Linked DNA regions of Oryzias latipes. The protein of the gene in region 2 binds, or shares a complex with, the protein of the main gene of each other region. Links are inferred from orthologs where the notes say so. Each region holds a gene or a part of one and is shown on either strand. Other genes may lie near its edges.

Region 1 (4,106 bases), on a different chromosome or scaffold from region 2:
TTTCTTACAACTCAGTCTTAAAACACTTTTCAAACTTTTAAAGTGAAGAAAGAGGGCAGATTTGACTGAAATGTTGTCTGAGACAACTGCAGAACAGATACAGCAGTTCTGTAAGGTGCTTCAGCATCACACCTGCTGAAAAGAATTAAAGTCAGAATATAATCAAATTTGGGATTTCTCTTTTTTTCTTTTTAAATTAAAAAAACATTTTTTTACATTTGTAACACACAGCCAAAAACGTTTGTTTGCAGTAACAGAGCATAACTTTAAAAAGTGCGATTCAAAAAAAAAAAGAAAAAGGAGTCATACACAACATGCTGAGATAATGCTCTGTGGAAATAAGGAGGCTCCTTTATCATCCTAAACGTTTGTTCCCAACAAACTGATGAGCCTGCTGAGAGCCACAGCTCCTCTTTGGAAGAAACTGGATATAACTGGAATGAACAAACCAGCCAGGAGTCACAGCCTGACTCACACACGGCTCCTTCTCAAAGAGTAAAAAAAAAAAAGTGTTCGACAGGAAGCAGCAACACCAACGGACTCCGGTTACTCCATGGAGCCTTTAGACGGGAGGAACAGCAGACGGAGACCTTCAGGACCAACCGAACACCAGGGGGAAACTCTGGATGAAGCACAGGCATATGCAGAAACATCATCATCGCAGGTTCTCTCCAGTTTGGACCTCCAGCTTCTTGTTGAAGTGCATTCAATGATTGGTCTTGGAGAACTGGACCCGCAGCTGCAGCATTCAGCAGACTGGCAGCATGCAAACGTTGTTTCCGTTGTACTCTTCTTCGGTCTGCAAAACACGAAGCAAAACCAGAACTTTCAGAACCGTCCCAGCAGCTGCCAGAAATGCGCAGAACCCTGTTGATCGCCTTACCTCGGCAAACACAGGCGGTGATGGGAACTGGAAGCTGGGCGACCTCATGAAAATGGGGCTGCCATCTATGTCGTCGCAGTCACACAGCAGCGGCGTGAGGGGCTGGTCGAGCCGAACGTCCCGCGTCATGTCAGAGTAGCTGGGGGGATTGGAGGGCATCTGCAGGGACACCCAGCTCTGGGAGGCGTTGCTTACGGAGCCCTCCTGGCTGCTCACACTGTTGCTGCGGCTGCCGAGACCGGCTGTCCCGATGACCAGAGGCAGCTCCAGGATCACTTTCTCACTGCCGGGAATGTGGACGTAAATCTGGAAGAAGAAAACAACAGACCATCAACACGTGTTTATCTCAGGAGGAGCCACAGGTGCTCCGCAGGCATGCACACTTCACCATCGGTGGCTCACCATTAGTGCATACTCCACACGGATGATGTTACAGCTCAGCATGGATGGCTTGATCTTTGGTACCCTGATGGTCTTCCCCTGCCAGGCGTCACACATGCCAGAGATGATGTGGTTTCCACGCACTGATGACAGCTTCTGCCTGAAGACCTTGGTGCGGCCGTTGGCCTGATATGTGTGTTTGGCAATGATGGCAGCTTTGGGAACCACGATGCGTGAGCAGGTGTTCTCGAACTTGGCGTTGATGCAGATGTCCTCGCCTTCACAGAAACCACGCCTGTCGATTTTGGCGTTTAGTGACACTTGGCCGTCGGGAATGAACATGCAGGTTACTTTCTTTTCCTTGGAGCCACCTGTGGGAGACTGAAGAGCAAAAAGAGGTAAAAAGAAGGTTAGCACGGCGGCGAATCCCAACATCTACACCCATGGATGTTCTGATTACTCACAAGTAAATCTGGGGTGTTGACATCCAGAGGTTCCTCCACCTCGAAGCATTTCTTGCACTCAAGCGTGGGCTGCAGCGGCCTCTCCAATTTAGCCTTCACATAGTACTGAACATAGCCAAACTTCCCCTTGTAAGAGGATACCAGCTGCCTATGAGCAAACACAAACAGGATTAGAACCACAAATCATTTCATGACTGAATGAGGAACTAAAAAAAAGGGGGCTTACCCTTGGTCGGGGAGGTCGAATCCAAAAGTGTACTCATATTTATTCCCAGGCCTCAGCACGACAGAGCCATCTGCATCTGGGGAGGGGGGAGAAAAACCATGAGTAAGGGGGGGGGGGGGGGGGGCAACTCTGTGGGAAATGAAAATGAAGGTGGGACATGATGTAAACAGAGCCAACTGGGACAAAGTTCAAGCACGGATGTTTCTGATTCCTGCCTCACTGATGAACCCCTGTAAATTCTCACTGCGTCATATTTCACCCATGAATCCAAATTTATTAAACTCACTTTAAAATAGACTAGAGTTAAAAAAAAAAGAAGCAGCTCACTTTAACCACAAAAACAGCTTTAGATTTATAAAGTGGAAGAAAAAATAATTTAACTACTTAATATTTTTAACGTGTAATTGTGTTATTTAGCTAGGACAAAAATAATTCCAGCACTTCCAACAGTTCCAGTGCGCACGAGGCTTACCTTTGGGCTGGTCGTGCAGGCTCAGGACCTCCTCGTGCCTCAGGTACTCGGCCTCCTGTCGGCATCGCTGCTTCCCCTTAGCGTACTCCACCTTGGCACAGCCCAGAGCCACGACTTTCACCGCAGACACCCGCGTCAACTCGTTCACCTCCACCTCCACGCGGCCGCACACCTTCTCCCCGCCGCAGTAAAAAGTCTTGCTCGGGTCCGATAAGACTATCTGAAAAGTTTTCAGTCTCTTCGTCATGGCTACCATGGCTGCTGAGGCTGTGAACAATGCTTGCTCGTGCGACTGAAGCTTTCGTCGTCTGAGGCTGTAAACAACAGAGGCGGCTGTATTTTTCTTTCTTTCCGTGAGCCCCGCGTGATGAACCGCCTCCGCGGTGTGGCTCAGCGCATGCACAGCGCTCCTATTGGCGGAAACTCTAGGTTTGTCTCGGCTTTAGCCAATCAGAGCGCAGAGTCAGCGCGTGGACAGCGCATGCATACGAGAGTGCAGCGCGTGCTCAGGAGATGAGAGACGAAAACTCAGCGTTTATAGTAAACACCAGAAACCTGGGAAGTACAGGCGTTTCCCTCTTAGGTCAGTTATTCAGCTGCGTTACAAATGAATATTATCAGTGCTATGATATAAAATCAGTTTACAGTTAATTTTGTGTCCTGATATGCTGAAACTGGATGATAACAGATAAAGAAAAACCTGAAAACACTATATCAAGCAGTTAATGGTCAAGTTTACACGACGTTTATTGTCTTATGAACAGACAGATCCATAAAACAATTGTGAGGATCAACTCATTAATATTTTCCCAAAGCATTAAATACTTTAAAATGTCTGTTTGCTGCTGAAGGGCCACAGTGTAGGCTACACTTTTTAAAAGTGATATAGATTTTTTTGTTGTGGGTTTTTATACTGTCTGCTTGTATTTTTTTTCGCTTGTATTTTTTTCCCTATTGTTCAAAAAGACAATTCCAACAATACAAAAAGACATCAAAATGTAAAATAAAAGTATTTGAGGTTAATTTAGGGTGACATTTTTTCAACTTATATAATGTTAACATTTTATCCTTTTAACGTCACGCATGTTAGGTCAAATATTGCTTACAAAATAAACGCCAGAGTTTCACTGTAAACAATTCATGAAGTTAACATTACAGTGATTCTTGATACTTCTAGAGTCCTCAGTAATTGGTAGGGATGCCACATTCATTCATTCATTCATTCATTCATTCATTCATTCATTCATTCATTCATTCATTCCTCTTCTAAAATCCACTTCAGGGTCACGGAGCTGCCAGACCCTTTTCCGGCCATCTTTGCTTCCCTACAGCATGCCATTATCTTTTAGAAGGATGTGTTATTTATGGTATTTATGGTTTTTGGTATAAGCCAACTGAAAGATTTTTCTTCATTCTTTCTTGCTAATTAGCTAATTTAAAAGAGGGATTTTCAGATATTTTTTAGCTTTATTGTTGTTTTGTAATACTCAAAATAAATATGAAATGGAAACAAAAACGTGACCCAAAAATTGAACCAAGTCATGGAGAAAGTGAATCTTTGCATTCCTGGTAAATACTTATATAGTGCTTTTCTACCTTCCCTTAAGGCCCATAGTGCTTTATTCACATTCACCCATGCACACACAATGGCGCCAACCTGTAACCACCAGGAGCAGTGTG
Region 2 (3,500 bases):
AGATGTAAGAATTTTATGAAAAATCGAGTAATCTTGAATTTCAGCTATAATCTGGAAGTCATTCATGCAGGAACGGATTTCAGGTTTTTAAGACGCGATCACGTCTGCAAAGAGGCGAACGCGTCTAGGTTTTATCAGCTGGAAAAGCCGCGGCCTCGTGGTTCAGATGATCGCATATCAGAAACAAACAGGTTTTCTTTTTCACTGCAGGAAACTGGTGCATGACTTCTGCGGTCTGGTGAACCACGCCCGCAGATAAAACACGTCCATTTGAGTGAACGCCACATTAGCTGGAAACCCAAACCTCTTTAGGTTAAAAAAAAAAAATCCTCTTCTTCATGTTTTGTGCAAATGCATTTCAATAAGATTACTACTCAGGATTGTGACATTGCCTGCAGATTGATGATCTGAAAACGCTGCTACTGATGGTACATCAAAAATGAGAGAGGAGGAGGAGCTACGGTTAAGAAATGACATTTTAATCCAGTTTTAGGATGAGTTCATTTTTCTTTTACTCTGCCCGTGATTTGCCGAACTCTCAGATTAAACGGGGAATGCGTCAAGATGATTTGCGTACAATGTTCCCCAAACAAACATGCATTTGTAGGTTTGGAATTTCTGTGTACGTTGGTACCAAAGACTGAGCTTAACTGTGCTTTAAAAGAACATCTACGTCTTTAAAAGCGGTCAGACGTACAGGGAGGATTTTCCAGTGCGAGGGTCGATGTAGGTGGTGCTTCTCCTGTTGTGGTCCACAAAGTAAGGAATGCCATCAACAGTGAACCTCATCTCCCATCCTTCAGGAAGAGGCTTTTCATTCAACAACCTGAGAAGTGACATCAGAACATCAACTTTCGTCCTTTTCAGGAGGCGGCGGGGGAATCTGTGAGCACATGCCTACCCCTGTGTTCGAGGGTCTTCCCACTGAGTAGAACGGGTAGGATGATGCAAAAAATAGACTCTGCCATTGGCGTCTGTTCTCTTCTCTGAAAGGAAAGCCAGTCAGTGACTTAACTATGGTTGACAGGTTGATGGGTTTGCAGGATGAGGTTTAAAGTCATTAGCGGTTTAAAAAAAAAAAACCCACATTGCGTTTTTGCTTGCTAAGAGTCAAATCAATAGTATTTCGATTTTCATTTTTTCAAAACTGCAGGAAATCCACTGTAGATGCAATTTCATTAGCTGGCAGGATATTTAAACTACATCAAACTGCATTCATTTGACTTTAATGTAAAGGAAAAATCCCAAAAAAACATTTAAATACAGAGTATATGGTTTATTAAGGTTCAATTAGGATGCTGCTATAAAACAAACCGAAACTAGTTTACACTAAACAAATTCAAGAGGAACCAAACTTGTAGCAAAGAGTAACATAAAAACTGCTCCATATAATTGTCCTGGTTTTGAAACTCGAAAAAGTCTCACCCCATCCAGCTGGTAGAGGTCCAAGAGGATCAAACTCCTTATTTTGAGCGGCTGCTGCCGGATCTTGTACCTGCACAGAGAATTATTATCAATAATCAAGTTCCATAACAAACATCACGGATTAGAACCCAAAGAGAACCAGAACAATTTGGTCTTGATCGACTTTGAGTCAAAAATAAATTGCAACACTAAATGATTAAAGCTTTTAGCCACACGTATGGGGGATTGACCCGTATGGCTGCTGCAGGTTTTTGGATTGTCCGGTCCATGGAGGGTCCTAGAGAGGAGCAGTCTTAAGGGAAGCGGTTCCCTTAAGGCTCGTACGGCCACCTCAAGGAACGTCATGAAAATGGAACGTACCATTGTGAATTGTGAAGCACTTGTTAGGCTAATGGACATTGCACGCACTTATGACATACAGGTGATTCTGTCGTACGGTAGTGATGAATGGATGGCACCCCTTGTAATTCACGAAAGTGCCAACCGTTTGAAAACTGATCATGAAGGAGATCGTAATTACGGTTTGTGCCCGGCTGGAAATAAATAAAACAGGGTCTTTCATACACTATGTAACCAAAAGCATTGGCTCACCTACCTGCCTTGACTCAAATATGAACTGAAACCATCCCATTCTTAACCCATAGAGTTCAATATGATGTGGATCCACCTTTTGCAGCCATCAATTGAATTCAACTTATTTTTTTTATGTAGCCCAATATTACAATAATAGTTGACTCTGACTGACAGAGGTGTTCTGTCGGGTTCAGGTCAGGACTCTGTGCAGGCCAGTCCAGTTCATCCACAGTAGACTCTGTCATCCATGTCTTCATGGACCTTGCTTTGTGCACTGGAGCACAGTCATGTTGGAAGAGGAAGGGGCCGCTTCAAACTGTTCCCTTAAGCTTGGGAGCATGGAGCTGTCCAAAATGTTTTGGTATCCTGAAGCATTCAGAGGTCCTTTCACTGGAACTAACGGGACAAGCACAAGTCCTGAACAACAACCCCCACACCATGATTCCTCCTCCACCAAATTATGTGGCTCGGTTGCAGCCGCTCGGCCGTGGAAACCCATTCCATGAAGCTCTCTGCATACTGTACTTGGACTAATCTGAAGGTCACATGAATTTTGAAGCTCTGTACAAATTGGCTGTGCAGAAGGTCAGCGACCTCTTTGCACTACGCGCTTCAGCATCCGCTGACCCCTCTCCATCAGTTTACGAGGTCGACCACTTGGTGGCTGAGTTGCTGTTGTTCCCAAACTCTTCCATGTTGTTCTGTTAGAGCTGACAGTTGACTGGAATATTTAGGAGCCAAGAAACATCAGTATCAGATTTGTTGCACAGGTGGCGTCCTATGACAGTTCCACGCTGGAATTCACTGAGCTCCTGAGAGCGGCCCATTCTTTCAAAAACGTTTGTAAAAACAGCCTGCATGCCTGATTAATTTCATACACCTGTGGCCAGGTCAAGTCTCAGGACCTGATTGTGATCATCTGGATGGGTGAGCCAATGCTGTTGGTAATAGTGTGTATACTGGAAAGAGTGTAAGAAAAAGCCTAAAGAGTAAGATTTGCCAGATTTTCCCCGCTTTAACATTTCGCACCAAGGCTCTTCCAGGTTTCCCTCGAAAAAGAGAATTGATCTCAATGAGACTTCCTGGTAAAATAAAGGGTAAATTCCAAATGTAGATTGCAGTAAACAGTAGAAAAAGAAGTAGCCCCTCCCTGCTTGTCCAGTGTGAACACCATGAGAACGTGTTCAAGAACCGGGGTTTATCGCGTGTCAAATGTCCAGACAGAATTTAGTTTTTGGCATTGGACAAAGACTTTTTTTTCCACTTGTCGAGTTCATATAAGAAAAAAGGTTTATGCACCATCCCATTGTCTACACAAAATATGTTATTCTCCTTTTAAGACAAAATATCCTGCATACTGTTTATAAAAAATAACGTGTACGCACACCACAGTCAGTGGCTTTCCTTTGACCCGCTGACACACGGCGTCTTACCCCGTAGATGAACCTTTGGTTGAACTGCTGCATGGCGCCCTGCAGCTGGCTGCGCTGGTGCTGCCACTG

What was found. Proteins that work in one complex are often made in the same cells at the same time.
Region 1: the proteins of E3 ubiquitin-protein ligase Itchy (region 2) and txnip are in contact, whole or in part, in a crystal structure (PDB 5CQ2), measured with the Homo sapiens proteins. The link is inferred for Oryzias latipes from reciprocal best matches to the Homo sapiens genes ITCH and TXNIP. Residues at the interface, in NP_001244066.1 of Homo sapiens: Glu485, Arg487, Thr489, Tyr495, Val497, Asp498, His499, Arg502, Thr503, Thr504, Thr505, Tyr506, Leu516; in NP_006463.3 of Homo sapiens: Pro328, Glu329, Ala330, Pro331, Pro332, Cys333, Tyr334, Val337, Ile338.

The regions. Positions count from the first base shown.
Region 1 is NC_019869.2:21,668,936-21,673,041, reverse strand, and holds the start of txnip (thioredoxin-interacting protein), read right to left. Parts: upstream 2,801-4,106; 5' UTR 2,683-2,800; coding exon 2,427-2,682; intron 2,031-2,426; coding exon 1,955-2,030; intron 1,877-1,954; coding exon 1,729-1,876; intron 1,646-1,728; coding exon 1,286-1,645; intron 1,190-1,285; coding exon 884-1,189; intron 800-883; coding exon 749-799; 3' UTR 1-748. UniProt on the Homo sapiens protein: May act as an oxidative stress mediator by inhibiting thioredoxin activity or by limiting its bioavailability.
Region 2 is NC_019865.2:2,020,175-2,023,674, forward strand, and holds part of E3 ubiquitin-protein ligase Itchy, read right to left. Parts: coding exon 3,432-3,500; intron 1,496-3,431; coding exon 1,426-1,495; intron 987-1,425; coding exon 902-986; intron 827-901; coding exon 698-826; intron 1-697. UniProt on the Homo sapiens protein: Acts as an Acts as an E3 ubiquitin-protein ligase which accepts ubiquitin from an E2 ubiquitin-conjugating enzyme in the form of a thioester and then directly transfers the ubiquitin to targeted substrates.